Linked DNA regions of Schizosaccharomyces pombe. The gene in region 4 interacts genetically with the main gene of each other region. Each region holds a gene or a part of one and is shown on either strand. Other genes may lie near its edges.

Region 1 (7,121 bases), 1.9 Mb from region 4:
TTAAAAGACTTCAAAATCCTCACTACTGTCACTGCCGCTGGCCCTAAAACATGTTTATGACTTAAAAGACACATACATTTTGTATTCTAAGGTCGTCCAACGCAAAATTTCATAAATGCCCTACAGACTTTATAATGTTGCATAGTCATTGTACAGATCGAAATTGGCATACTCATGATTAGTTATGTAGAATTTCTTTATTTCCTCATATCGTCATTGATGACTGTGGTAAATGAAACCACCCAAAACATAAATCTTCTATCCAAACAAAAGAACTCTAAAAGTCTGCAAAGTTGCAGGAAACAATAAGCTAGTTACGTGCCAGCCAAATCTTTATAGGAAACCATAAAACGTGAGCTGGTTTTACTTTTTTTAAAGGTCATAGTTTCTAATCGTGTATTTCGAAAAAATGTGAAGAATAAAGGAAAAGAATCGATGAATTGCGTCTAACTTCTCATCTGGGAAAAGAAGTTGTAAGTAAAAGTACAGGATCGCCAAAACAAAAGGGAACATAAGAGACAATCGAAGTATGACTCCGGCATCCTCAAGTTTGACAGCGCTCAAATTTTTGAATTTTCCTACAAACTGAAGACAAAGCAAGCCATCAGCAGAAACACTAACTAGTGCTTCAGAATCAGGGGATAACTGCATATCAGTTACTGGAAGGCTATGCTTATAAACTTGAGACAATTTCTAGCATGCATATTAGAAGGCAAAATCGCAATAAAAATATTTAAGTAAACACATACCGTTAAGTCTAAAGACATGAAACGAATGCTGCAATCTGCTCCAGCAACTATGATCATTCCATTCTCCTTATCACAGCAAAAGCAGGTGACGCCCTTTGCATTTTTTAAATCTCGGATCATGCCAAATCTCCAAAGTTGATTCTTTGAACTGTAATCAAATCGAACCAATGAAGCAAACCTTTTGGAATCTTTAATATAGTTATAAGCAGCTACTATGGATTGGTTGGGTAAAAACGAAACACCTCGTACTGTGGCTCGCTCTACCGGCATGTAAAGTACTTGCACCAATTCAAAAGTGTTCCAATCATAAATTTCGACGCGATCATCAACTGCAATTGCAAGCTACAAAAGAATGGTAAGGATTTAATAAATAAAATTTAGTAAAGGCTGTGGCTTACCTTGTCTTCAGTAGATGAAACGTCATACACATCTGAACCATGTTTTTCAAACAAAACTTTGTGATCATTTTTGGAGATGATAAAAAAACTTTTATTAGTGCAAGATATACAAATTGCATCGTGTAATGGCTCAAATAAACATAACCTTTGATATTGTTCATCATTGTCAAAATCGGTTAACCTGAGAGCGTTCTTTTCCTCAAATAGTTTATCCTTTCTTCCATATAAACGTAAATGGTCAATTAACTTTCCGTCAATGGTGTTATTAATACCGGCTATTAATTCCTACAATTTAATTTCGTTAGCTATGCAATAAAAAAATATTGCATACATTTTTAAAATAACCCAACGACATAACGGCATCATCCGAATGCTTAAGTTCGATTTCTCCATGTTCTATAAATTTTGTATGACCTTCACCAACTTCAGGTTCATAGTCTTCATATGATAATAACTTCTAAATTCGACAAACTAATTAGCGCCTATAGTCCAATTGTAAAACATAATCTTTTTAGCTAACAATCCGGATACTAAAAAGTTTATAATGCTGTAAAATAGATAGATAATGAAGTAATCCTTCACTTACAGTCACGAATTGACATACCAATTTGTTTTTAACACCAGATTTTGTAGTTCCTCCTCCACCACCAACCGCCATTTGATGGTTATTAATCCAACAAAGAGAATAAGCTGGAAAAGAAAGGTGGAGTTCAGCCATTTTGATCTAATAATTAGAAAACACTTTAAGCTGGATACGAGGAATAGGAATGTATTGAAAAAATAAATCGATATCGGCGACGAATCAAAAAAAAATTCTACTTATTAGTGAGCAAATCAATAAAGTACACTTACAAGAATTCCACTAAAAAAAAACAATGTCTATTTGAATACGGTGGTGTGGGTATGTTTCGAAATCGCTGTGAACCTACTTCGAGACTTAAGCAAATACTGTAAGAATATTAGATCCCCGTATCAGAATCTATCGAATAATATCGACATCACTATCCTCTTTTACGTATTTAGGCGATGTTTAATATATACATAAGTTTTTATCCATTTTTTTATGACAGTAGAGAAAAGATTTAATTAGAGATAACCTAAATCCTTATTGACTTAAAAAAGGATGATACTTACTTGTGGATATTTATTTGCGAAGAATCTTTGAACAAACAGAAACTTATAATAGATTCTTTCTAAATCTCGGAGCATATTCTGGCTCATTTTATATTTATATTTTCCTTTTCAGCTTTTTAGAACTCAATTCCGACCTCAGTTTGGTTGCAACTTTGCTACAGACACTATTTAATATCTCGGTCTCCTGTACATTTTACCAGGTTTACGTTGTATTGTTTATATAGTTTATATAGCAATATTTACTACATGTTCATCATATTACGAAAATAGATTAAGAGAACTGGGGAAAGAGTGAGGAGATGAGAAATTTTCGGATTTATTTATAATTTCCAATTATTATTTTTAAGACGAAATTGCCGCGAGACTACATTGTCCATGAAATTAATGTTTGTGTTTATTCTACTAAAGGGTATGAATGCTCGATCTCGTGCCAAGGTGCCTACAATCTTAATACGCCGCTGCCTGTGTATGATTATAATATTACTTCTGTTTTTTGCACAGAAAGCGTGTTTCATTTCAAAGATTGACTTCCAATTAAATTTAATTAATAATATGTTGTTTCATTTCCTTATTTAACTACCAATTCTTGTTCATTTGCAATTCACTCAAATATGTAACTGAACGTTGTCAGGTAATTTTTTGGCTTTAAATGATATGCCTCAATGGAATATAAAAAAGCATAATCCTATATAACTATTGTTTTTTTCAGCTTCGTTTCAGTGAAATGTTATGCTGATACAAATTGATTGAAACATGAATGCAAGACTTTTTTCAACTCAACAATATTTTATTTATTAGTAAATTTTAGTTTATGTAATAAACTCTTCATTAAATTAATATAACTTTATAGTGCTGCTTTCTTTTTGCACATCGCACATTAATTGCAAAAACTCTCTTCTCCACATCCAGGGTATCTGATGTCCTCGACAAAGTCTCAGCGAACGAGCGATTTGGGTTTTTCATAGCAGAGAAGTATCCAAATTTCAAAAATATTATTATTTTACTGGCTTTATAGAGAAGTATTTAAATTTTTGCATAACCCTCAATTGATAGAGTGCTGTAAATTCTACTTACATTATTCACATGTCTGCCGATAAATTTCGTGATTCCACGCATTACAGAGATTGGATTTTTACGGAAGAAGACCTTTCAAAAACACGTGCTAAAGTAAATGAAAAATTTACGAATATTGTACGTGAGCGAATGCTGGAAGAGTTGTCTTTACAAAACAAGGAAGCATCCTTAGAAGTTTTGCCTCCAACTCTTACCGTTGAAGAAGAACTTGAACTTGTAAATTATTATAGTTTCCAGTTGAACGCACTTTCTTCCGCTCTTTCCTTACCAACTCATATTCGCGTATGTTTAGACATGGTCGGATTTCCTTCAATTACTTGGAAACTGTACTCAATATAAACATTCCGACTTTACTCACAAAATTTTAGTCCACGGCCATTCTTTTTTTTAAACGCTTTTATCTAATTAACTCTGTCATGGAGTATAGTCCAAAAATTATTTCGTATGTTTAAGTCGCCGAGTCCATTAAGCTAACATTGTTTTTCTTACATTAGGTTTACTTCTTTATTTTTAGCTACCAAGTGCAACGATCATTATATCTCTATTGAACAATTCTGTAAAAACATGCCCAAGACGACTCCCGAAGAAGTTCTTGAATACGAATTTAACGTTTGTCAATCATTAAAATGGGACCTTTACGTCTGGCTTCCATTTCGTCCTTTACAAGGCTTCCTTTTAGATTGTCAAACAGTGCTTCCGAAAGTTGCTGTCGAAAAGTTTTACGAATGTCATGACCTTTCCAAAAAATTCCTAATTGAGACATTGCATTCTGACATCTATTTCTTACATTCACCCAGCATAATTGCTTTGGGTGCTATTTATCATACGAATCCAACTATTTGTTTACAATATATAGAAGCAAAAAAAATTCCAGAACTGCAACCTTTGATAATTTCGATTTCTGCCAATTTGAAAGCTACAAAAAAATTTAAGATTGAGAAAAAAAAGGCACAAGATTACGGCAGAAAGCTATATTTCTGCATGAATCCTCTGCGAAACAAGTCTAGTGCTTTGTACCTTAAACGAAAAGCGGAAGAAGAATCAACTAATAACAACAAATGGGCTAAAAAGTTCTCAACCAGCAGTAATGTGTTGGATAAAAATCCGTTTGAATGATTCTTTCTTTGAAAAGTGCTAAATTTACTTCAATAGTCATTATTCGTCAATTTTTTTTACGACAAAATAGTTTACGTTTATAAAAAATTCCCAGTAAAATTCACTATCAAGTGTGTCTCATTAATTATTTTTAATGTCTATTTGTAAAATTAAAAACATTTTCATTTCTCTCACAGCCAAGGAGCCCATAAGACGTCCATCTGTGCCAAAACTTTGGAACTAGAGGCTTGCGCCAAATAATCAATAGCTGTTTGATTGACTGGTAAGTTACCATAAGCAACCTGACTTAATGATGCAACCCTTCGCATTATAAGATCAGTATTGCTATTGACTTTGTTGAGCATACTGAAATCTGCCGGCACGCCTTTAGTTTGCTGTGCAAGCCACCAAAAAAGATCATCTCTAATAAAGATACCCAAGTACATATCCAAATCGAAATCCGGTTTGGAGAGCGCGCGAGCTATAGCCATTATTGAAGGGCCCAGTAAACCTTCAGTACAAGTTTTTCCAATAAATTCTTTAATGTTGGGGGTAAAGCGAAAAGGAACAATTTCTCCATTATGGTAAACTGGAGTAGAAGAAACCATAGATGGCAGCGCTTCTGTTGTCCAAACACCGCCAGAGTCTCTAGAAAAAACAAGCTTAGCAGGTATCCTATTATTTATACTTAGTATGTATGTAATAAATGAAAAACAAGCATATTGGTATGAAAAATTTTTTCTGAACAACCACAGATCGGAATAATTAGTAAAGATACTTGAGAAATAATCTTTTAAAATCGTTGACGGAGAATAAAGCTTTTGAATATTTTCAAACATTCCGATTCTCCTACTAAACAATTGTTTACGATTAGCTAATTTTTCAGCATCAGTAGATTCCTGACTAATTTGGGAGTTTAATTCCATCATATGTTTTGATAACTCGTTTGTAAACAACTCTTTCGGATCATCTCTGGAGAAGTTATTTCTTTCTGAATAAATTTCGTATATTTTTTGGAGAGTAATAGAAGACGGTTGGTCTTCTAACAGCCGGATGTGCGATGACAACGGAATCACTGCAGGAATGTAAAATTTCAAACAACGTCTTCGAGTCTCACAATTTAAAGCAAGTGCATCATTTAAGTATCTGGTCAGCTGCATAAAACGCTCTTCCCTACGGCTGTTTCGTGCTGAAGGATACTGAATGACAAATGGGTGTATAGTTCCGCCATTGCTTCGAATGGATAACCTTCTATAGCAAACGCCATGTCCTACTATCAATTCCACTTCAGGAAGAAACCTTTCTATGCAAGAAAAACTATTGTTGTTATCCTTGTGCAAAAGATATTGTCCAGGAACTTCTATTTCATCAAATTTTTGATGATGAAATTCACACAAGAATGAGCTGTATTGTTCCAAATATTGTTTTTTAGGAACCTTAGATAATAACCGCTCAAAATATGATCTCCATTTCCTTAGTTTGAAAATATATGATTTCAAACCGTTTGAATTGACAATGAAATCTTCCTTAAATAGTTGTTTACAATAGTCAGGGAGAATATTATCAGCAAACAAACTTAAGTTCGATTCGGTTGAAGAAGGAAGTTTCATTTCATCCGTTACGATCCCCAAACGAATGCTATGCTGTACAGCATCATTAAGCAAGGCTACCACTAGCCTGAAAGCATCTCCATCATTCTTACATTTAAACTTCGCTTGAATTTGATCAACTAAAGTTTCCATAGTCAAAGCCAATAGAGGATAAGCAGTTTTTAAAATTGACATAATTTCATCAATATATTCCCAAACTTTTTTAGAAAGTCCATCTTCTTTATTTGTTGCTGGAGCATTCGTGCTTTGATTGGTAGAAAGAAAGTTAGATTGTATGCTTAAAATATCCTCATTTCTTTTATTTTCATCAGTCGTATTTGATTTCCATGCTGCCATCTCAGTGCGTTTTACCTGTGCAATATCTTCACGAGCAGTTCTTAAAGTGAAAAATAGTGCCTGTGGATAGGATTTAGCAATTTTTTTAAGAACAACAGGTGCGCATTTAGTATCCCCTTTAGAAAGTGAATTTAAAAGCTGGGGAATAAAGGTAAGCCAATGCCAAACTGGTATATCACCTTTGTATGATTCAAAAGCTTTAACTATAGTACCGGCGCTGTCATTCAAACTTAATAACCACAATACCCTTGCCAGCATCTTACGAGCTTTAGAACTTTGGTAAGTACCAGCAGCTTGAAGATAGCAACTAATGGCATTGCATGCTGCACTCAAATTATCTGGTGACTTATTGAAAAGCAAATCGTTGTAACGACCCCATTCTGCCCATGCCTTTGGCAACCCTAAATCAATTTGTACTGCTGCAGCATACATTTGGTTAGCCTCCTCACCTCGATTTAGTTTTTCTAAAAATTTTCCTTTTAATGTCACGAATTCTGACTTTTGTCTAGAATTGAAGTACATCAGATTGGTATTTGTAACAACCTCCAAACCTGTTTTCAGATCTCTTGGGTTTTGTAGATAACATAAAACTTGCTCTCGAAGCTTATAAAAAGCTTCTTGAATTTCAATATTTGGAAGAGTATATATCTTCGTTAATTGGTTCAGACATACGGAAGGTAGTTTATGTTTTCTGGCAACATGAGCGAATCGGTTAATTAGCCAAG
Region 2 (10,844 bases), 1.5 Mb from region 4:
TGTTTTGTTAATCTTGTACCAGTAACGAGAGAATGGTAAGGCTTGATCACGAGAGAATGCCCATATAGTTCGAGCGTTGGCTTGCATAGCAGTAATTCCAGTAAAATTAATAATAATAAAAGATAATATAGTAAATGCCATACTTCCTTTCTTGCCCAACACGTTGTAGAAAATCTGGGCAACAGGTTGACCTAGTTCAGAATTGATCAAACTATCGAGATCAGTACCCATGGTGAAGGCTAAAACAATATTGAAAACCCAACCCAATACATAAGTTATAGAGAGAGCAAGAGCAATTGCGTTGGGGGCGCGAACAGCGGCGTTTTCAATTTCTTCAGCAATGTGTGCCGTAGCATCGTAATCAGTCATACACCAAGCAACACTAAGGAATCCAAAAAGGAAAGAAAAGCCAATAGGATGCCACCCACTGCTTGCCTGCACGTCGGTAAAAACATATTTGCCAGTGTTGAACTTTGGACATTTGGCCAATAAACAAATCATACACACGACAAGGACGATCAAGTGAAAGGTGGCATAAAAACGAGTAATCCTGTCTAGCCAACGAGTAGAGAGGGAATTGACGAGGCCATGGAAGACAATTACAGCAGCCATAACCCCTACAATATGTTGATTGGTAGGGATGTATTTCAAATCTGTAGATATGGATACAGCAGCTAACAGCAATTGAGCACAAGACCAATCTGTACTACTGACACCAGCTGCTTGGCCCAACAAGTTCAACCAACCGACGACCCAGGCGACAACGGGCATTGATCTGGCAGGAACTAGGTCCTTGCAAGTAAAATATAAACCACCGGATGTTGGGTAAGCAGAAACTAGCTCGGCAACGGATAGAGCGATACACATACAACCAGCACCAGCAATTAACCAACACCAAACAGCTGATGGAGCACCTCCTGAAATCAAGGGATATGAATATGTTGTGACGACAGTAGCGAAAAGCCCAGAAATTGAAAAAGCAAAAGAAAAAGTGGCCCAGGTAGAAAATTCTCTTTTAAAGACAGGTTTGTAGCCCAATTCAAGAAGTTGGTTGTCTTCATCGTTGCTGACTTCGAAATCGGTTTCAGAATGGGAAACATGTTTTAAGGATTTTAAATTACTAAAACCTTCTTCCTTGTCATTGAACTTTCCTTGTTCATTAACGCTTACGTTAGAAACCGAATCCATACTATAATTTATTTATCCACTTTAACGTTCAAATATGCTTATCAAAAATTCGACGTATTTTCCTTTTTCACCTTTTTTTACTAAAAAACCGAAAAACAAAACAAACAAACAAAAATGTAAAAAGTCAAAGTTTCTTCGCAAAAGAAGAGATTATATACGACTTTCAATTTCACCCTTTGGACGACTCCAAATTGATTTAAAGAAAAAGAAATTTGCTCTAAAAAGAAAAAATCTCTTCTGAAATAATCGCTATATCTCAAATTGACCTATATATGAGACTTTTTATTTCAAGGTGAAAATATTGGCGGAGACTGGCATGAGATTTTTCTATCTGTCGTTAAAGCAATTTTGGCTACCACGTGCGCGAATTATCAACAAATTTTTTATATACTCTTTTAGCAAGATTCTTTAGTTTGTTATCTGCTTCGTAGAATGCGTAGGCAAACACTTCAATTATTCATTGTTTTGGCAACACATTTGCATTAATGAAATACCTAACTAGTTATGCCAATTAGTCTGCTAAACCATTTTTTGTTTCTCTCGGGTACCAGATATTCGCTACAGATGCATAACTCGGACTCTATCTCTTTAAATTTTAACTTTTTAGACAACTTTGGCCTACGAAGAATCGTTCACGATTGTTGAAAAAAGTTGTTGGAAGTTAATATTACGTTGAGCATATTTGATTTGGAGGTGGAACAGAACAACTGGAATTTTTGAAAAACTAAGTATATAAAAATACATGTGATAGTGTGAAATTTTGTTTAAATAGGTTTGAAAAGTGTTTGGGCAGCATTGACAAGTTTGGTCCTTTAAAAGCTTTAAATTGAGTACAACCACAAACACTTCTTTGATAAAAAAAGAGAAGCCAAAAGCATCACATTTCGCTGAAGTGTCCTTTTCTATAGTTCGTTGGAAATGATTATCCTAATGGAACAATATGTATTAATTTGCAATTATTTTTATAATATTCGCTGGCATCATGAAGTAATATCAGTTTTGAAGGCGCTCCATGTAAATTTTATACCCAGCAAAAACCTTGAAGTCCAAATATTCATACATTAAGTATTTACGGAAGCTTTTCTATTACTATTCTTCAAAAAAATCTATACATTTTTGAAAGATCATCAAATATTTATGAATATATCTATGTATATTTCAAAGACTTTCAAATTACTCAATAAATTGTCAAAAGCCGCTTAAATAAGCTTAAATTTTAACGATCAAATGAGAACGCTGAAATTATTTAAAATAATATTATTATAATACATCTCAAATAAGCACTCTGGCAACAATCCCAATGTTCAATGGTACTAAAAATTTAAGCATGTATAAACAATAATTCAAGCTGTACTATCTAATTATGTTGTAATAGCTAAACATTGAGTTTACTCTAACACAGGAGTTTAGGGAAGCTAGTTTTACGGATTGTATTGCCCTAGAAAAAAGTACTAAATTTGAACAGTATAGGCGACTGAGTCGGGATTTTCATTTACCATTGGGAAATATTTTTTTGGAAAAAGCTTAACTAGTTTTGGAAAATAACAGGCGGTAAAAAATGCCATGTATATGTAGTCCTCGGAGGAATATGAAATCAAATTTTTAATAAATCGGTACTTCACTAACAACGTTAGAGAACCTGTTTAAATGTATTTGCTTTAATGCCGTTCTTTCATACTTTACCCATTCGTAACTTACATATAGCCTTTTTATGGATTGCAGCCCATAATTCAATTTTAATCTTGATTATTGGTTGTATAAGATACTTTAATAATTAATTTAATCTCTTTTTTTTATTTTTCTTTTCCCCAATACTTCGAAATTTAATTATATATTGAGTATATTGGTATCCAGTTATATATACACTTTCTCTCTACAACCCACAAGAGAATATTACAAAATATTGTACTCAGCGATTCCCTATTACTATTTATTCGTGGATATTATTTGTTGGACAGAAAAAAAAAAGCAAAAACCTGATAAATCAGCTTATTTCTAAACCATCTGATCGCTTTGTATTATATTTTTATTAAATGAAAATTTATCATTCCTTGTTTCTGGTTTAAAACTCTTTTCTTTTCAAGAGTAAATAATTTTCGATGTCCAATATAGTTTTATTTTAACTGTTATTATTATTACTTTTTTGGCTCATTGTTATTCTAACCTGTGAAGAATATTTTAACCACGAACTGTGAACATTTTCTATTAGACTCTGATTTTTTTGTTTTAAAGACCGATTTAAAAACCGTTTTTGTTCTAAATAATGGCTAAAAAAAAATCAAAAGCTTCGAACTCTGCTCGTGGGTATGCCACTACATCCATTCCATCTCGAAGTGCCTCCTCTCCGGCAAATAAAAATCAGGTTAAAGGAGAGAAAAATAATAAAACCCAAAAGGTTGAGCCCAAAAATGCTTTCAAAGTTGAGAATCAATCAAATGATATAGGGGTTGACACCGTTGATGCATTTGACCATCTCCTACTAGACAAAACGCTTCCAACTATTGATGCCGAAACTGAAGTCATAAAAAATACCTCTTTATCAAACTCAAAGTCATTTTTACATTCTTGGCAAACGGATATAAGACTTCGTAAAAATGACAACGTCCTTGGCTTGACCGAAGATGAAATTCAACAAATTTTGAAAACATTTCGGGACTCTTGGAAATCTTCTCTAAAAGAAAGTTATGCTTTCTCAAATCGATCCAGTTTTTCTCTGAGGAAACGGTATCTTTGGACTACATTTCTTTCACTTAAAGGTATGGGGTTTGAAGAATCAGAAATATTTGGCGCCTTCTCATCTATCCCTATAGTTTCGATAGATGAATATATCACTTGGATGATAACAGAGAATTTAATCAATTCTGAACCTTCTAATTCATCTTTTTCTTACGAAGTGCAACCTAGTAATTACACTACTTTTTGTAGGATGCTCGATGAACCGTTACCTGCCAATAATCCGGTTCAATCAAATAGTAGACTTGTCCCATTAATGAAGGATTTTTCTAACGATATAAAGCACACACCTAATAAAGAAACTCAGCCCTCTAATCAAGTCGATGATTCATTGAAATCTAAGGATTCAAAGCCACTCACAATGTCAGAGGTACTTACCCAATTGCCTGAAGATGACATTCCATTTGATGATCCTTTTGACTTGACTTCTCAATATGTTAAAGTTAAGCTGAAAATGTTACGACTACAAATTGCCAATAAAAAAAATTCAGAAGAATTTAGTACACTGAATTTGCAACTAGAAAGCATTACTAGCCAATATCTTTTTTCGTCTAAAGAGGCAGAAATTGTGTTTCGTAAAAGCAGAATCGAGTTTATGAACAAGTTAAAAGCTCTCCAACAAAAATTAGAAAACGAGAGAATTGTAGAAGAAATAAAAAAAAATGGCATCCAAGAAGATTCTCAAAGCACTGATGACTCCAGTAAAGATGATGATAATAATTCTGAAAGCAATGATATGTCACCACACAACGATGCAGAAACTAGAGCGGATGACGATGCTTACCTTATGGGAGATTTATTTAATCAAGAAGAAGAAGACATTCAGGATACTGAAAATGATTTACTTAATGCAAACTACACACTTCTTCCTTTAACTACCGATAAATCTGGAACACGTCCAAGTACTACGTTGCAATATGAGCTTCACAAAATCGGATCAAACATTAAAGCAGAGTTCAAAACTATGCCAATCGGCAAAATAGGATATCAGTCCACCTGTTTTGTTAGATGTTCTACCGGCCAGAAGACTTTTTCCGACCTGAAAACTGTTTTGCCTACTGCCACATTGGCTGCAGATTATATTTCAATGATAGTTTTATTTAGATTAATGGCCAATTTTACTAAAATTTCGTTACAAACGTTTCCAAAATCGTTTAAAGAGGTTTATGGAAAGTTTTCTGCAGAAAAACAAAACACTGACTTAGCAGAAGATGCAAAGATTTCCGAGAAGTTGGATTCCATTATAAAGAGCAAAGAATTGGAGACCCCAACAAGCGCTACCACTTCTAAACTCATGGCCCCTATGGATAATATTGGCAAGTTTTCTGGATTTGAAAGGCCACCTGAGACTTTACTAAACAAATGGCGACAACAACTTGAAAGTGAATCAGCCGAAAAATTTAAGGTTTTCCGTAATCAGTTGCCAGCTACGATGTTTAGAGAGACAATTATTGATGCTGTCAATAATAGTCAACTCTTAATTATATCAGGAGACACAGGTTGCGGTAAAAGTACGCAAATTCCTGCTTTTCTGTTGGAAAATTCTACAAAAAATGGAAAAGCAGTCAAAATTTATGTTACAGAACCTCGAAGGATCAGTGCCATATCGTTAGCTAATCGTGTTTCTCAGGAACTTGGCGGCAATCCTCCTTCAGCTCGTTCGCATGAGCTTGTTGGTTATTCTGTTCGTCTGGATTCCAAATGTACGCCTTTAACACCTTTAACTTATGTTACTACAGGTACATTTCTGCGTCTCCTAGAAGTTGGAAACGAAATAGAGTCTGTGACTCATCTGATTATTGATGAAGTTCATGAGCGCAGCATTGACTCGGATCTTCTTTTAATTCATGTACTTCATTTACTTAAACAACATCCTCATCTTAAGATTATAATTATGAGTGCAACTTTAAACGCCGAAAAGTTTCAGTTATACTTTGAAGGAAGTAATTTAATCACAATACCTGGTAAAACATATCCAGTGCATAGATTTTATTTAGAAGATATACTTTCCCAGTTTGGAAATGATAAGTCGTTCGGTAACGCTGCCGGACAGGATGTTATAGAGGAAGATGACTATGAAACCGACCAACAAGATGCGAGCATCTCAAACAAATCTGCGGAGGATGCCATTGTTGAAATGAACCTAATTCCAGCTTGGTATAACGAGAAAGCCATTAACTATGGTTTAATCGTTTATCTCTTAAAGTATATATTCACTGAAGGAGATCCGAAATTCAGTAAGTGTGTATTAGTATTCTTACCTGGTATTTCGGAGATCCTTCGTGTAAAATCTCTTATCGAAGATATGCCTATGTTTCGAAATCATCGTAAGTTCTGTATATACATGCTACACTCTACACTATCCTCTGCGCAGCAACAGTCCGTTTTTAACATCCCTCCCAAAGGGTGCCGCAAGATTGTATTGTCGACAAATATCGCTGAAACTGGTGTTACTATTCCAGATGTCACTTGTGTGATTGATACAGGAGTACATAGGGAAATGCGTTATAATAGTAGAAGACATCTTTCTCGGTTAACTGATACATTTGTATCTAAGGCCAATGCCAAGCAACGTAGTGGACGTGCTGGTCGTGTTCAGGAAGGTATCTGCTATCATTTGTTCTCAAAATTCAAACATGATACCCAATTTTTGTCTTACCAGACACCTGAAATTCTGAGACTTAATCTGCAAGAAGTTGTTTTGCGAGTAAAGATGTGCCAAATGGGTGATGTACAAGATGTCTTAGGCAAGGCGTTAGATCCACCTTCCTCTACCAATATTATTCGTGCTTTAGAAAAGCTTCATCAAGTGGGAGCGCTCTCTGAAAACGAAAAATTAACAAAACTCGGCAAATTTTTGTCGCAATTACCTGTTGATGCAAATTTAGGAAAAATCTTGGTTTTGGGATGCTTCTACAAATGTGTAGATGCCGCTTCTTCAATAGTAGCCATGTTAACAATCGGTTCACCTTTTAGGAAATCTGTTGACAATGAATTTTCTGCAAACAAAGCCCGATTATCATTCGCTAAGGAGAATACCAGGAGTGATTTAGTTTTGATGTATTATGCTTACTGCGCTTGGCGAGAGATTTGCCTTTCACCTTTAGGCCCTGATGAAGATTCTTTTGCCAAAGAAAAGTACTTAAATTTAGAGGCTTTAAGTATGACAGAATCACTAAAAATCCAACTGCTTTCTGAGTTGAAGGATATGAAACTTTTAGGCGCTTCGGATGTTGATACTTGCAAAAGCCTAAAACGTTCAATATGCCGGCGTTTTGCCGTTATCCCCAAAGAGCATGATATTAACTCAGGAAATGCAGAAATTCTGTGTGGCGTAATTGCTGCATCTCTGTATCCAAACATTTTAAGGTATGATTACGAAAAAAGACAGTGGTCAACCTTGAGTACCAACAAGCGTGTTAGAATTTTAGATGTATCGGTGAATAATAGGTCTGAGTTACCTAACATGCCGTCCAAATTCGTTGCTTACACGAACATGATGTCTTCCACTCGAGCTAGTGAGTATGTTAATGAAACTACTATGGTTACTCTTCGCCAGCTTCTAATGATGTGCGGCCTTAAAGTCGAAAATAGAGTATCAGTTGGACAAGCAAAGCTTGACAACTTTACAGTATATTTTGAAAATGTTTACGTTTCGGCATCTTTAAGTATTTTACGTCGCTTTATTGAAACTTCTCTAAACGAATTTTTTGCTGAACCTGATAAACGCTTATTGAATTCCCATCTTGAGGTTATTGTTAACATAGTTTCACGGTTAAATTACGGAACCAAATTTCAGAAACGTCTCAAAGATTAATGAAAGTATCAAAAATGAAATATCAGAAAGTTGGTTTTCACATATCTGCTTAATGACAGGCAAATTTTCTTTCCATTTGGAAAATGTAAGAATTATGTTGGTTGAGCATAAATGTGTAAAATGGAGTTATCTAAGGCTTCATTGCAGAAACTGATGGCTTTTCTATTTTATGAGACACAATTCAGAGTATTTAATTTTCTCAAATCCAAAAATGTCAATTATTATAACTGTATATCGTTTTCTTAGAATATCAAAATAGGTCTCTAAATGAAAAGAAAAAAATATTTACATATGCAATTTAGCATTAGACCGGCTAATTTGTAAAATACTTAATAGTTTTTTTGTACCTTCATCATAAACTAGCAAGCAACATGTGTATTAAACTTTTTATAGTAAACAATGACATGTATAGTAAGCTTTTATATAGTACTATAGAATTCATACGATAACACAAATAATAGATTAGAACGATGAGAAATAGATAATTAGCCCATTAAAAGATGCAAGAAAATTATGAACTTAAGGAAGCGTAAGTTTTCTTCGTCGTAGGAAGAACTGAACAATAAGTATGAGTATGCGTATGCGTATAAAGACAAGCAAAATATTATAACGTAAATGAATGAGAGTCGAACAAAATATGCTAATATAGATTATAAAAAAAATTATCCTTATGAGTAGAAGTACAGGAATTACTCAACCAATGGAGAAAATTCATAAATATGCAGTTTAAACATTGTCCTCGGAAGCATTTTCCAACATGTTTGTAACTGACTGTTTACATAGGGGACAAAGATCCGAATTTTTTAATAAATAAGGATCAATGCAAGCCGGATGAAAGATGTGATGGCATGGCAGTTCTCGATAAAGAGGACTTTCTTCTGAATACTCACACAAGCAAATAGTACACTCCCTCTGATCGAAATACTTACTCCCTCTTTCGGCTGTAGTAACCACATTTCCCTGTCCATCAAAACTTTCTGATTTGTCTAATTTCCAATCCTTTTCATAAACCAACTCATCATTAGGATTGGCAAGATGAGGCCCCGAAAACATTCTAACGGGCAAAGTATCGAGCATTTCTTTAGTAACACGATTTTCTGGTTTGTTTGGTCCAATATTCACAATTCTTTCTTGAACAGGAATTCCATGACGATTTAAGAGTCTATAAAATCCATTCATTGCACCAGAAAAGTGAAGGCAAATAAAAAGGCCTATGACACCGATTAAACCCAATAACACACCAATGAATATATAGAGGCCAAGTAGCTTTGGTTCCTTGCTGATGATAACGCCCAAACGGGCCGTAGCATCAATGTTTCCAAAATATTCGACTAATGCTCCACCATCCTGCACCGAATTTAAAGAAGAAGCCGAGTATTCGTTGAGAATCTTTTCAAAAGCGATGCCGTTTTCGTAAGATATGAGTGCCATTGGTAATGTTTCAAAGGTAATCATATCTACAGCATCTTCAAAGTGGTCAAAATTGGTTAATGAATTACTAGCAGTGCTTGCATTATAAAATAGTATTGCCTTTGCTCTATCCTGGACAGCCTGCAATACATGCATTGGAGCACAATAGTCAAACGGCGCGAATGCGATTAAGCCAGAACTTCCCATATTAGAAACATCTCTAAACCATACGCTTCCCTTGGTATCAACTTGAAGTGACTCGGTGTCATTGCAGCTACCATAAGGAGTAGTTTTATATATAATTCCACGAAAATTATTCTTCAGTTTAGACAAGCTTTTGTAATACTCATTCAAAAGGACCGTGTTGTCAGAGTGGAAGTAAAATGAGACATTTTTTGGAAGATTTGAAACAACATTCTTGTTGTTTTTAACAATAAGAGTAGTTATGGTTAGCGGAAAGAACTGATTGTATTCGACAGCATTCATAATAATAGATGAATTTCCGTAATATGAAAGACCAGAGCTAACATAATTAGATATTGCAGTATTTGGAGCATTGCTGGAATAAGCAGGGTAATAATCATCATACAAGGAGATTGAACCAGAAGTAGAGGACGACCTTGCAGAACTAGTACTAGAATCTGAATAAGATTTGGGATTTGATTCACTGGAAACAGAATCCGAGTCTGATTCACTAGAACTGGACATAGAATCTGATTCATCATGACTAGATCTTGAAGAAGAAGTGTGTTCACTAGCATGCCCACTAGTATGGCCTCTTCTTAATGATCTAAATGAATAAGAGATTGGAGTTGGCGAGATACTTTCGTCCTTTGGCATTCGATATCGCCTTCTTTCATTCCATAGTTTACGAATTGCATTAAACAGCCGCTTTCTCCTCTTTACCTTATTCTCTTGTGAAACATAGCCTCTGTAAACTGCATTGCAATCCAGATGATCAAGCAACTGGTTATTACACAGATGCATAAGAACCTAAACAAACTTTAAGGCACGAAGAAACACAAAGAACTAGGAAACAGGAGGTTTCAAGATTACCAAAAAACAAACCTGCTTTGATACCAATCTTTCTAAATAATGAATCAAATTTAATGGTAATTGAAAGGTAAGCTTTCAATCAATAAACAGACGTTGAGTGGTGATATCTCTAAAGCAGGAATTGTGGAACACAATTAATGAAATTTTTTAAAGGAAATTTCAAAAAATTAGAAAGTAAAAAGTGTGATTCTTTTAACTTATACTAGCTCAAGCTTGAAAACCACAAATTGGTGGTGGCTAAGTAATGAACATCTTGAGACATATTGCGTACATAGTACACAATACATGTGATATACATGTGGAAAGCAATTGTTATTATATTTTCACTATGAGCAGTATACTTCAGTGAAGAAGTTTTTTAATGAAGGAAAAACTATGAAACAAACAAAGCATAAAGTGCAGGGCGAGAAAAACAATCGTGAAATAAAACAGCTTATTTGTGTTTGGTGATTCGACAAGCGCTTTAAACAGGTGTGAGAAACTAAATAATAATAAATGGTAATTATAAGAAATAAAAAAACGAAGAAGTGATACTTCAAAAAGGTAAGCATAGCTGGAGAATTAATGATCAGAGAGAACTATAATAAATAAATAAAAAAAGGATCGCTTAGCGATCAATTAAACAATAAGATATCCTCCT
Region 3 (6,340 bases), on a different chromosome or scaffold from region 4:
TCGATGATTTGACAAAAGTTAAAGACAACGCTCCAGAAAATTTGCAAACTATTATTGCTGTACTCTGGGACAAATTAGAAGATCTACAAAAAGAAACATTGTTTGATGACCCCGCCGCTCCCACTACAAAATGCGCGTTAAATTGTATGCGACTTTTGACAAGGCTTATGCCAATTATATTTGAGGATAAGTCAATGTTAGAATGGTTTGACTATTTTGCGTGGACAGTTCCAAAGGATCCGAACATCAATACACCCCGAGGAGCAAGCTTTTTAAACACCGTTGTAGATTATCTGTTCCTAATCAATTTTACCATCCCTGCTCATAATGATCTTACCCATGGAGTTCACTACTGTATTTGGGAAACTGGGGTAGTTTATCATCCCACAATGTTGAAAGAGCGCTCGTACGAACTTCACCGTGTCGAAGTCCTCCGACTCTTACTTTCATTATTTTCCGAGGAAATATATCGAACAGATGGCAATGGAAGCAGTTGTTGTGCTTATGTTGCTTCAATAGCTAACAGGCGCTTAGTCCTTTGTCTTCTTTCTTCTCTCATCAATACAGCAATGCGTTTCAATACGATGTTTTGGAAGCCTGAGTTTCTTCCCCTTGACAACTCGGTAGCTCACATGTCTTTGATAGAGTATTGTTTTTCTGTCCTACTCATACTAATGTCGGAAGAAAACAACAACGGCACTCCTTGTTATAATAATTACCGTTCTTCAAAAAACACATTACCAAAAAACTATTTTAGCATTCTGCTTTCAAAACTTCAACCTTATTCAGATTTCCAAATCATCCTTGATGGAATGAGCAGACTGTTATATCCCCCTATGCAATCTACCATTCCAAAAAGAAGCTCATTGATTATGTTTGACTACTACCCTCTTGTATTAATTTTTTGCAAACTTTTTATTCATTATAACGAGAGGTTTTTTCATTATCTTATTGATACCGATCGAGCAATCGATTTGTTTATATTTTTGTTATATTTAAGTTTTGAATATCTCGGAGATCCTTCGACTTATAACCACTTAAAGCTTTGTGTAATTCTGTTAAAGCGCTTGACCGCTGAAAAATATTTTTGTAAGCGCTTAAACAAGCCATTTCAACAGCAGACCGCCTTACCAATTAGCATGCCAGTTCCTTTCGAAGGTGGTACTTACGCAGATTTTACCATTATTGCAATTTCATTACTAGTGCAATATACTAAAGATTATCATTCCGAGATTGCTCAAATGCTTTGCTGCTCGCTTTGCTACCTTTGTTTATACGCGCAAAATTTAAACTCACATTCCAGCCAGAGTTTGTTTGAATTGTTTCAATCTGCTTCCTATCCAGGCTTTTTAATTTCTAACGACGTCAATCACAAAATTTTAAAGTATGTTATAGGAGCTATCAACAATGCAATTCAATATGCCCAAAAATACAATGCACCACTCTTATACTTCTTTTCAATGCACAAAGATTACATTGAAGCGGTCAGCGCTTTATCGTTTGATGCCATTATGAGTGTTAGAAACTCATCCGCGGAAGGAGATTCTGCATACTGGACTCGCAATGGTAAAACATTTTCTTCAAAAGCGTTTGACTCCATATTGTTAAGCCGACTTCGATATGTTAGGTCAAAAAGTCCAACGCCATATTATCCTATAGAAAGTAGTGAATTTGGTTTCACTAACCTCAAAGACGTTACTAGCAAAGATGAAATTACTGATGGATTCGATAAAGCACTTCGCTCCAATTCTTTACGTACTCACAGGGATAGTAGGCCTGTCCAACCATTGTTGAAGCAACGTCCTCAATTACATAGAGCTCTTACAGAAAGTGCCACACTCCATGGCAATGACCGTTCGTTAGAAGATACCGACGAAGCGAAGGTAGAGCCAATTGCTCATTCAGTAGATTACACTTTTAAGCCGACTGTAGAATGGTGGAATAAATGGTGGCCTTCGCTGAACTTCCGAACTATGCTCGATATTTTCACTGACCTATCTCTCAAAATCAGTGATATGAAGAAAGCCGGTCATCCAGCTTCAGAAATCATGGCTATGATAAAAACTCAAAAATACCCAGCAACTAATCAACCATACATTCCGAAATATAGAACAAAGGAATGGAGACAACAATTGGCAAATTTTGCTCGTCTATTCGCCTGGCAAGTCTCATGCGATTTAGACAGTCATAAAAGAGAAGGGCCAGGCATCTTTGAAGGTACGGATGTCAAAATATTTGACTCATTTTAGACTTGAAATCTCCTTGAGGATTATGCTTGAGCGGCATATCTCCGTTTTAAGAATTGAAATGGAGAAATTTGAACTATCCTAAGTTTTGTATGTTCAAAGAGTCTGTTTGAATAGATACTTGGCTTTTTACATCTGTTTTATTTTTTTATTATTTCTTTTCACAAATTGGTTAAAAAAATGTTGTTTCGTTTTTCATTCAGAATTACCACTAGTATGTTACTACTTTTATCGTTATTTTACATTCTCAGTAACTGTTTAGCATTTACTAAAAGATTTTATGTATACACCAGGGATTTATTCTTTGTAGTTTAATAGATAATAAATGCAAATGCCAAACAAATAATGCTTCGCAATAAACATCGGAAAATCAACTCAAGTTGAAATATATTTTTTTTTCAATTGAGCACACTACTCACATAACCAAAGAAAAATCAAAACTATTGATTATTTAACCAAAACCATACTTATGTAGCTCCCTTCTAAAGGCGAAAATTTTTCGACGTTTTCTTATTTGCTCAGTAAGGTTTTGCAGCTAATCGTTAGAACACTATCATTATACCAATTAATTTAATAGAAATACTTACGCAATTGAGTAAGTAGTACATGAAACCGTTTTTTCAGAGTATAACGTTGTCGAGAATATTTATCGTCAGGAGAGAAACGAGCAGGATGCGAAGATTTTGTGACTCTTCCATCTGGAGATACCTTTTTTAAAGTATAAACACGCTTTCCCTCATCATTTAAATAATACATCAAATGCATTGTGAAAAAAAAAACGGATATTACAATTTTCCTATGGTGCTGGAAAGGTGTAAATGTCAAAAGTACCTCAACTTCAGGTGACTGTTTTTGTTGCTAAATTACGCTAAAGCATTATAACACAGACATAATCAAATATTAAATTATTTAGCGACTCTCTTCTTTTATTATTCACTAAAATTTAAAAACAATACTGTAAGCAGAATAAGCAATATGGGGTTAAGGATATAGCAATCTTCGTAAAATTAAAACAGCTATTGTCATTATAATAAATTAGAATAAAATAATTTCTTTTAAAATCCGAGTTTTCAGCTATTAAGAAAATGCGATTAATTATTGACCAAATCAGATCCAACTATTTAGTTTACATCTTTAACATACGTTTGCTTGGAACATTTAGTAATTGCACCTTAGTACACTTAACTTATGGGTTATTAAACAAGGGAGTTAAACCTCTATTTTAAGCAGTTCGTTTTTGATTGTCTTTCTTTAGGGAAATATTATTTTTTTTTTTTTATTGCGCATCTAATTAAGATAGATAATTAATTGATGTCTTTGCTTTAATAATCACTCAAAGAATTGCTCTTTGTCTCCTTTTCAAACATATCCATTAACGTTTGACTAAGTTTGTTCCATGCAACCTCCCCCATTGAATTTTCAAAAAACAAAAGTAAATTAACCAACCGCGGTAGAAGACTGGATTCTGATAAATCATCGTCAGAATATCTTTGTACTCTGATATATTTCCTTGAACAATTGAATATATGGCTCAAATTATCATTCCTAATGATACACTGTAATCCACCTAACTTTTGCACTGCCTTTAAGCTTGATGGGTAAATTATGTACGGACATTGTTTGTGATTATATTTTAGTAACTTCTCTGCTTCTCCGAGATCCAGCGTTTTCCCCACATCTGTAATATGCCAACAGAGCATTCGAATCGGGTTGATCAATAGTCGAGATATAAACCAGTGCGAACTGAATGATTGGTGGTAAAGGCTATTTTCAAAATTTCTTTGCATAAATTTTAAAATAAGTTCTTGTATAGCGATTCTCTGTTTCGGTGTAAGCGACTTTTGTCGCTGATGAACAAATTCTGACAAGTATTGAAACAACGTTGATTCATTGTATTGCTGACTATGTAATTTTGTCAGAGCGATTCCTTTCCTGGAACAGAAAAACAAATTTTTCAGATGAGTAGAAGACATAATTTGATACAGACCACCCATTGCAGCTACAGCATGTAGATGGTATCGTTCCAAATGGAATGGATGGGCAAATGATTTAAGAAATAAGCGGTTTGCCTCCTGTAATACAACCATTTTTTTTGCAATCATTAAATAAGAAATCAGACATAAGGTTGGCTTAACCAACAAGCTAGCGAGCAACGTATTAAATGAAGAAGAAAAAGAATTATTGAAAAGTTCTTTTTCGGATAACTCTTTCCTGGCGACGTTAAACTTTGAAACATATAAATCAAAATTTTGGTATATAGTCTTTTCTGATTCAGGAATAGATAATATTGAAATTGACTCGTTAGATATTAATTTATTAGGAATCACAGTTTTTATGCTTCGAGTAAACTTGTAAGTTTCTTTTTTTGTCTCCTCGACATTTATTGTTTCGTATAAAGAGTCAATCATGGCATCCCAAACGTCCACTGGAACAATTTTCTTTCGATTTTTGGAAGATGAATATGCTAATAAAAAAATTTTTGCGACAAATAAGTCATCTTTTTCATTTTCTACAAATGCAAGCAAGTTTTTTTTTAAACCCATCAAGTAAACAGCGTTGTATAGACCTCCAATATACTTAATTGCTAATAAATTTCCTTTCGTGAATTGTTTTGAATGATTGCTTGCTGTGCTAACAGCTGTGTCTTCAAATTTCATGATTTTTTTACCGGATAAATCTTCAAAAACTATTTGAGAAAACATGAAGTGCAAAGGATCAACGAGTAAGCTTGTGAATGCCCAGCATTTTGATGAATTTTTCAACAAAAACTCGTCATTGTGCGAACTAACTTCAACGTAAACATCTTTGAAGACAGTATTAGTATTGATTGATGATTCTTTGAAAGAAACTTTGTCATTGGCGTTGGAAAGTATGGAAGCAATCCTTATATACAACTTTTCAGATGATACGACACTATCGTCAGTTGAAAGCAAAATAACTTTCTGAGCTGAACAGTAAAAAACATCAGTCAAATATTTTCGTATGAAACTTTGAAGAGAAACAAAATGGTAAAAAATGCTTTCAGGAATCAAGCTCTTCCAAATGTATTCAGCTTCATTTATACCAGTTAAGCAATTGGATCGTCTGGCATACCAATAGATAGCTTGAATTGCGTTTACAACAATAGATGTAAGTTTTTGGTTCTTTCTAAAATCAATGACGGGGACTGTAGCAGTAAGGTCATCATGTTTTTTTTTTTGCCAAGTTGAGTGAAATCGCCTATTGCAGCAATTGTTTGAAACAATGACTGAATTTATCAACGCATAGGTGGTTGCTGTAATTTTGAAGAAATCATTAGTATGCTTATAATTTGCAAAAATAACCTCATCGGCCTTCGATATTATTGCTTTGATTGGAAATCTGTCGCGCAGCTGATGAGAAAGCAAGTTCATTACGGGCCGCTCAAAAAGGTGGCTTTCTGGATTTTTTTAGAAAACTATCGTATACTGTTAGCAATCATTGAGTATTGACGACCGAGTATTAAAAATCTAAAGATTTCTTAATTAGTGTATATGAAGGAGAGGACAAGGTAGGTCCTTTGAAGTAGCTTTGTTGAGAATTTAATACAACAAAAAAAACACGCTTAGACGGTGCTTAAATAGGTTCAGTAATTCTTTCCTTTTTTTTGAATTATAAATAATCCTTAGTGAAAGAGAAAGTAATGAAGCACGTCAAATAACAATTTAATCTTACAGATTTACGTGGATAACCCTAAAGACAGTAACGGTGACCTTTTGTTTTACATTGTTTTCTTACTATTATTCGAAGACAAAGCTGAAAGAAAAAATACTTTTAGATTATACTTTCAATTAATTAACTTAACAAGCTTATAAAATTACCACTAGTTAATTGTTCGATTACCACGGGTTAAGAGAAAAGTGCTATCGAAAAGAATTATGAAACATGGATTTGTGCAATTTCTACTGCTGTTATTTACTAAAGTCGAATAGGACACAATCAAGTGGAGCTGTTTATATCGGTTCCACACCAGATCCACCTAGAGTAGGTATTTTGTGCTATTATAGGAAACTAATTTGTTTTAGCGATTGCGGCAACATAATGGGGAAATAGTTGGTGGTGCATCAAAAACTAAA
Region 4 (6,943 bases):
AAGTTGTCAAAGAATGAGGCAATCCCGTGATAATCAACTACATTTTCGGGCCTGCGGCCATCTAATAACGCAGATGTAGAAGGAACACCAGGTAAAAGTTGATTACGACGCTGACGATTATTCAAGGCCTGTGATTGAACATTATTTAAAGACAATTGCACATCCCGTGATGAATCCTGAGTAGTAGTCATAATATTAAGCGGAGTTGGAAAGAAAAAATTTGGAGAGTCTATCTCGTCATTAATTGTCTCACTAGCAGGGCCTGTTTGACGAGAGTATGAAGGAGAAGAAGGGGTAGTCATGTTATAATTAACATTTTCAGTAGAAGTAGGAGTAGAGGGTGCAGCTGATGAAATTCTTTGAATGGTTAATGGAGAGTTTGCTTGAACACGAGGATCTTGAAATGAATCATTTGAATAAATGGAGCCGGAGGATCGATCATGACTAGTGGTAGAGCTTGATCCCAATAAATCACGATTCACGGAATGTCGAAACGTAGATTGATTTGGAAGTTGGACATCTCCACTATCCCGTAAATCCACCGAATAAACTCTTCTAGAGCTAGAGCTTGCCGTACTAGCTCCAAATGGAGATGGTACATCACCGTTGACGAACAAAGAGTCAGCAGATGAATTGTGTTGAGACACAGAATCAAGAGAATTGCTAATATTAGAATTAATGGGGAATGGAGCAGATGCGGATGATGGAGGAGGGGTAGTAGAAGGTGTAAGGGAAAATTGAAATCGAGAATGGTGAGAAACAACGGACTCAAGCGCAAACAAAAAATCATCTAAAAGGGTGACAACAATAGGAACGATACCAGCTTCCACAACACGAATTCGAATAGCTTCAGACCCACGTATCCCAACATTTACGACACACTGAAGAGCTAGCTGCCATATTGTCATTCGGGCAAATGTTTGTCCACGTCCGGCACGTAAAATATTCATTAAACGCATCAAACCACCATCCATAGTAAGGATCTCACGAATTTTCGGTGAAGTCGAAGTCAAATAAACGAGATGGCTTAATGAATTCATTAATGACATTTCGGAGTCACAGTCAAGCGCACGTCGATCATAAAGGACTGTATTGATAGTGACAGAAGCTTTGTTATTCCATACGATGCTAACGTTCGATTCCCTCATCTTTCTTTAATAATATATTTAACACGTATAAAGTTTTTTAAAGACAATTGCTGCAGTATAAATTACTGGCAAACGCAAAGATTGGCGTAAAACGAACGATGTGATAATATTTTTTTTAGTTAAAGACAAGCAGTTTTCGAATACCAAAATTTTACTCAATAATTTTCAAAACTGCTGTGTGTAAACGCAATAACCGAAGAGAAAAACCAAGAACAAACGCCGATAGCAGGAAGAATAAGTAGTGCCCCAAAATCACGAAAACGAAAAAAAATAAAAATTACTGTTTTCGCAGATTTTAAGTCCCGCCGAATTTGAAATCCTTTTAAGCAATCTACACCAATTATTCTTCAAAACGAGTAAACGTAAAAGGGACTACGGTTAGCTCAAGCTTGAAGTCAAGAACTGATAAAGGAGCAAAAAAAATACTAAAAGAAAAAGGAAGTAAGGAGCAAGGGCACTTTTTTAGCCGAGAAGCGACACAGATCAAGTAAGTTCAACAATAGGAAGTATAACAACGAAAAAGTTGTAACCCGGGGTCTGCTAAAATCACGAGGCTAAAGAAAGAGAGAAGTGGCAAACAAAAAAAACCCGAGATTAACGAAGATACAAAGAGAGAATGAATAAGAATAGTTTGATGAAAACCACAATAACCTTGAAAATAAAAATAAAGGATATGCTCAGTACCTTTTTAGACAAGATTAGTGGAAAATCAAATCACAGCTGACAAGAGTAAGAGAAGAGAGAATAGCACAAGATGATTTGCATCAATTAAAAAAGTAAAGTTCGAAGAAAAATGTTAGGATTTGGAAAAGGAAAACGGTGGTGAAGCTAAATCAGCCTTGTTGATAAACAAAGAATAAGTGTTTTCTTATAATCGCAAGGATTTAGCTTAAAAACCACAGTAAATAGTTTTTGCAAGTCCCTTAATTTTAATTGAATGAATTCTTTTTACGAAAATTTCCCGGATCCTCGTTCTCTTATTCAGATTCTTGGAAGTGGCAGTTGACAGAAGGCAACTTCATTTCACCCGAGTGTCAACCGAGTTTGAAAACGATCGTCAGTGAACGTACCTTTAAGGCACCATAACGCAAAGTATGCTGGGTTGTTACTGGCTATAATGGTTGGGAACTCTCGGCGATCTTTGATGCTGGATGTTACCTTTGAAGAGATCGACATCTCGGCAACAATAACTCAAAAAACTTGCTGCAACTTTAACTAGCAACAGTTGGTATTTCTTTCACTATAGTCAGTCATTTTTTATTCATACGAACATCTTTGTGTCTTTAAGTTTTTAGCAGAATCTGTGTATGAATTTTTTCTTTTAAGTCAAAATGTTGCCTAATACGTTGGTCGCATAAGCCGATTTTTGTATTCTGTAAATTCACTTTAGCAGAACATTTGGGTAAACCGGTCCGAATAAGCTGTCAGTGCTGAAAATAACCAATGTCAGATTTTGTAATCTCATTTGATTGACAAGTTCATCAGATCAGCACAACTCCAAACCAGCCGCTTCTTTACCTGTGAGTCCTGCCACTTTGAGTAACAAAACTAAAATTAGTCGCACTGGTAGATACTCGATCGTATGTCAATGGGGCAAGGTAAAGAACAATCAATTTATAAATATAAATATGTACATATTAAATATATTTTGGATTGGATTTTTCATTTTATTGTATTTTAATGTGTTATTTACGAATTGCGTTGGATTCTTCAAAATTGTCATGTTTACAACTTTCTCATTTCTACAAGTGTGATTCCCTCAACATAATATCCATAAATTTTTCGCTTATCTTGCTTAGTAAGTAAACTCAGATCGAAACTCAAGGTTAATAATACTAATATGGATTGCTTGTCTTATTTCTACGCGCCATTCCGGCCTTTCAAATGCAAAAACAGTTATTTTATTATTATCCGAACAGTCCAAAGCGCTGAATATCCTCAACTTCGTAACAACGTCCATTTACATGACCCATTGCCTCGTAAACAATTAATTACTAATATTTTACACGATTACTAAATATTAAACTGATAGCGCCAATAAATGTCATATGTAATCTAGGCCTCCAGCTTCTTTTTAGCCATTTCCTCTTTCCATTTTCGCGAAAGTTCGAGCATTTTGCGCATCTTATCTCCTTGATCAGTCGCCGTATCCGGAAACAGATAGTCCAAATATTCTTCGAATGAACCGTCTTCAAGTCTACGGCGTTTCTTAACAACCTGTGGCATTAGTGAAGAGACATGCTTACGTGTATCTTCCGTGCCATGCATTGCCTCAAATTGTTTCCATGCTTCAAGTAATACAACTCGCTCTTCCTTCAAACCCTGCTGGCGTAAATGGGCCAATGCATTTTCAAAAACATTTCGCGCACGCACAACAGCGGTTGGAGAAGCCACTTCTTCATTCGGTGGTTCTTCGTCATCGTCCTCCAGATGGGCAATTTCAAAGTTTGCAAAACTAATCCAAACTTTAACATGAGGTGCAGTCCGTAGTAACTGCTGGTAAATACTTCTAGCTTTTCCGTATTCCATTTCCTCGAATTCAAAATCAATATAAGCCTTCCACACAAGCTCTGGGGTTTCCAAAATAGGCTGGTTTACAGCCAAATTATATAAAGCGCGAGCACGATCACTATCTCCAAGCTTAGTCTCTAAGGCAGCGTAACCAAGCCAGGGAGCACAAGCCTCGGGATCATAAAGAATCCATTTTTCATAAAGAATTCGACACCTGTCAAACTGCTTAATTGCGTCTTCGAATTCAATATAACCTCGGAATAATTTTGGTTTTGGACACATTCCCAACGCACGACCCAACGTTTTTCTAGCAACATCAATCTTACGTTGCCTAAGCTCAAACATTGCATACATGAGCCATAATTTGGCAAATGTAAATTTTTTATGGGGTATAAGCTTGAGAGCTTCTTGGTAAACCTTTCTTGCGCGGTCAACGTCCTTCACATCTATCTCTTCAAATAAGCAATAGTTTAACCAAATATAAACGTAACGTCTCCATGCGTTCTTTTCAACTACTTCAGGAACCTTAGCAATAGCTTTTTCGTAGGTTTCGCGAATAGTATTAATATCCCCTGCACTTTCTTCGAGCTTCAGCAAATCAAGCCAAGTGTCATAGTCATAAGGAGAATCCTTCAATAGCTTTTCGTATTGTAATCGACGCTTATCGAGCACAGTAGACTCAACGCCCAAATGATCTCCAAATTGTTTTTCAAAATGAGTGTATTCCTTATATAGTTCCATAGATTTTGATCGGGGCATAAAATCAATTGCATATTTGAAAATGGTGCGAGCTCGTTCATATTCCTTTTGACGAATTTCGAATTTTGCAAAAGCAATAAAAAACCGTTCATTCAGAAACTCCTGACCAAGAGCATCTATAGCAGCCAAATAGACTTGGCGAACGTTTGCAGCATTTCCGCATTCTTCTTCAAAACGAGCCCAACGAAGCCAATTCGTTACTTCAGGATGCACAACGACAAATCGTTCATATATGCCACGAGCCCGTTCGTTTTCATGGTACCTCCTCTCCATTCGAATATAACTCATCCAACAGTTTTCATCAGGCTCCCACTTAAGCCATCTTTCAAATACTTGTCTACAACCGGTGATATTTCCTAACATTTCCTCCATATATACGTATTTGTACCATAGTTTATCAACACGGGGAAGCTGTGTAACAGCACGATCAAATAAATTTCTGGCATGGTTGATATTTCGATTCTTCATTTCGCATTCAATATATTTCAGCCATAACGGTATATAAGTAGAATCTACATCCAAAGCTCTTTCAAAAACAGAGCGAGCTCTCGCAAATTCTTTTTGGTCTAATTCCCACTGACCATATCGCATCCAATGGCCCATAGCGAGACGATTCCGTCGAATGGCATCTTCAAATTCTTTACGTTTTCGACCTTGAAATTCTTGAAGCTCCTCAAGATCAGTGATATTAATTTTTGGAGGAACAAACGCCACATCTTGTCGTTCTACAGCTTCTCGGAGCAATTGTTCAGCTGAGATTTGGATGGGTGCTGGGTTCTTATTTTTTACCCTGGGCGCTTCCGAAGTCATCTTATATTATTCTGGATCTCTATAGTGTACAATTACTCAATAAATAATATGCTAGATTTATGTCTTCTCTTAACCAGTTGGCTTTTACTGTTAGAAGACAAAAACGTGCACAAATATGAATGAATATATCTAACGTTTGTAACCCTCGAGGTGGTAATCGGCAACACCGCGGATCATCCGAGAGGAGACCGCGGCTACAACCTAGTAACTTATTGTAGCAATGGTCTGCAGCTCCTATATACTCAATAATATGTTCAAACGGTATTGCTCTAAATTGGATTTATAATTTTGTAGGATGATTGCTAACCTCAACAGATTTAACTCTAGAGAAGATATAAAGGGAACTACTCCAATCAAGTCTTCTATTCAAAGAGGAATAAAAGCAAAACTAGTACAAGCTTATCCTAACTTAAAACAAGTTATCGATGAGTTAATTCCCAAAAAATCACAACTAACTCAAATAAAATGGTTCGTTCTTATCAGCATCCGTGATTTTTAGTATGTCGTACTGATATTGTTTAAGTGAGGATCGTTTATTTTTGTATACTTTGAATGGCGAAATTATCCTTTTCCAGCACTTCGACGGCCCTATCATTCCTTCTCTTCGTCTTGTTCATAAATGTGAGTATAAGCTAACGTAACCGCAACGTTTGATTGGAGTTCTGGTTTTTGTCTAGCTGGTCAGAATCGACAACAACATATCTGTGTTTAGTTCAAATATATACTAATACGCCTAGGTCCGGATGCCTTTACTCAAGTTCGAGTAGACAGAGGAGCTATCAAATTCCTTCTCTCGGGTGCCAATATTATGATTCCTGGCTTGGTTTCCAAAGGCGGCAATTTGCCTGATGACATCGAAAAAGATCAATATGTGATTGTTACAGCTGAGGGAAAGGAAGCCCCTGCTGCAATTGGGCTTACAAAAATGTCTGCTAAAGAAATGTAATATACTATTGACACTCATAACTTGAACTATTAACTAACATGCTTGAATTGTTTAGGAAAGAGACTAATAAAGGAATCGGCATAGAAAATGTGCATTATCTTGGCGACAACTTGGTATGTGATTTACATTTTAAACCATTTATAATTTCCTCTTGCTTATTGGAATGTAATGTTAACTAATATTCACAGTGGAAGACTATTTTAGAATAACATCTATAGTATAAGACATTAAAAGAATAAAATTAATGCATTATTTTGCTTTCAAAACTATTCAGATTTTTCCAATGAGTATTGTATTAGACTTAAACAGAATGCAAGAAAGAAAAGTCAAATTTAAAATAGCCTCAATTTTTTTCAGGTTGATGCGTATTTTTCTATTAATTTGTTTGCACGATCAAATTCATTATCAGTTTGTACTGCTTGTCGTAAAACCACTAACATTTTTGCAACAACTTCTCTTCCTGATAATTTAATTGAACATTTTGTTTGAGTTCGTAGCTCTCCTAAAAATTCCTCCAATTTTTGCCAAAGACCATGATGCATTAATAGTCTGACATAAACTTCGCTTGTTACTAAAAACTCATCATCCAACTTAAGTAATCGAGCAGAAGCGATTTTGTTTTCTAAATGATTAATAGTAACTATGGTCTCAAAATCATCATAACCTTCTTCAGTGATTGCATCAGCTACCATTTTTTGTAATAGTTTTCCTCTTCCAGAATCCATTAAAACATTATTAGTTCGGTGTTCATATATTTTGAGCGGCTGAC

What was found.
Region 1: mutations in tma20 (region 4) and mcs2 together harm fitness less than expected from each alone (positive genetic interaction), as found in Schizosaccharomyces pombe (one large-scale study listed by BioGRID).
Region 2: mutations in tma20 (region 4) and dhx29 together harm fitness more than expected from each alone (negative genetic interaction), as found in Schizosaccharomyces pombe (one large-scale study listed by BioGRID).
Region 3: mutations in tma20 (region 4) and nop10 together harm fitness less than expected from each alone (positive genetic interaction), as found in Schizosaccharomyces pombe (one large-scale study listed by BioGRID).

The regions. Positions count from the first base shown.
Region 1 is NC_003423.3:1,889,792-1,896,912, forward strand, and holds mcs2 (transcription factor TFIIH complex cyclin Mcs2), read left to right. Parts: upstream 1-3,188; 5' UTR 3,189-3,364; coding exon 3,365-3,637; exon of another isoform or gene 3,638-3,723; coding exon 3,724-3,797; exon of another isoform or gene 3,798-3,849; coding exon 3,850-4,471; 3' UTR 4,472-4,617; downstream 4,618-7,121. Other genes in the region: GDP/GTP exchange factor Spo14, read right to left, coding at 373-693, 750-1,091, 1,148-1,432, 1,479-1,604, 1,752-1,865; SAGA complex, phosphatidylinositol pseudokinase subunit Tra1, read right to left, coding at 4,642-7,121. UniProt on the Schizosaccharomyces pombe protein: Essential for progression through the cell cycle. Possesses kinase activity that can be detected when myelin basic protein (MBP) is provided as an exogenous substrate.
Region 2 is NC_003423.3:2,243,272-2,254,115, forward strand, and holds dhx29 (ATP-dependent RNA/DNA helicase), read left to right. Parts: upstream 1-3,063; 5' UTR 3,064-3,451; coding exon 3,452-7,738; 3' UTR 7,739-8,033; downstream 8,034-10,844. Other genes in the region: SPOM_SPBC15C4.04C (amino-acid permease), read right to left, coding at 1-1,188; SPOM_SPBC15C4.06C (ubiquitin-protein ligase E3), read right to left, coding at 8,465-10,135.
Region 3 is NC_003424.3:1,632,494-1,638,833, forward strand, and holds nop10 (snoRNP complex protein), read right to left. Parts: upstream 3,012-6,340; coding exon 2,834-3,011; exon of another isoform or gene 2,782-2,833; coding exon 2,765-2,781; 3' UTR 2,618-2,764; downstream 1-2,617. Other genes in the region: SPOM_SPAP27G11.12 (uncharacterized protein), read left to right, coding at 1-2,249; SPOM_SPAP27G11.14C (uncharacterized protein), read right to left, coding at 3,569-5,638; structure-specific endonuclease catalytic subunit Slx1, read left to right, coding at 6,150-6,248, 6,290-6,340. UniProt on the Schizosaccharomyces pombe protein: Non-catalytic component of the H/ACA small nucleolar ribonucleoprotein (H/ACA snoRNP), which catalyzes pseudouridylation of rRNA and is required for ribosome biogenesis.
Region 4 is NC_003423.3:3,767,830-3,774,772, forward strand, and holds tma20 (RNA-binding protein Tma20), read left to right. Parts: upstream 1-5,467; 5' UTR 5,468-5,478; coding exon 5,479-5,489; exon of another isoform or gene 5,490-5,543; coding exon 5,544-5,696; exon of another isoform or gene 5,697-5,751; coding exon 5,752-5,849; exon of another isoform or gene 5,850-5,965; coding exon 5,966-6,170; intron 6,171-6,229; coding exon 6,230-6,287; intron 6,288-6,308; exon of another isoform or gene 6,309-6,362; coding exon 6,363-6,383; 3' UTR 6,384-6,443; downstream 6,444-6,943. Other genes in the region: armadillo-type fold protein, zf-MYND type zinc finger protein, Mub1-Rad6-Ubr2 ubiquitin ligase complex Mub1, read right to left, coding at 1-1,148; protein Cwf4, read right to left, coding at 3,204-5,228; histone chaperone Hip1, read right to left, coding at 6,528-6,943. UniProt on the Schizosaccharomyces pombe protein: Involved in translation.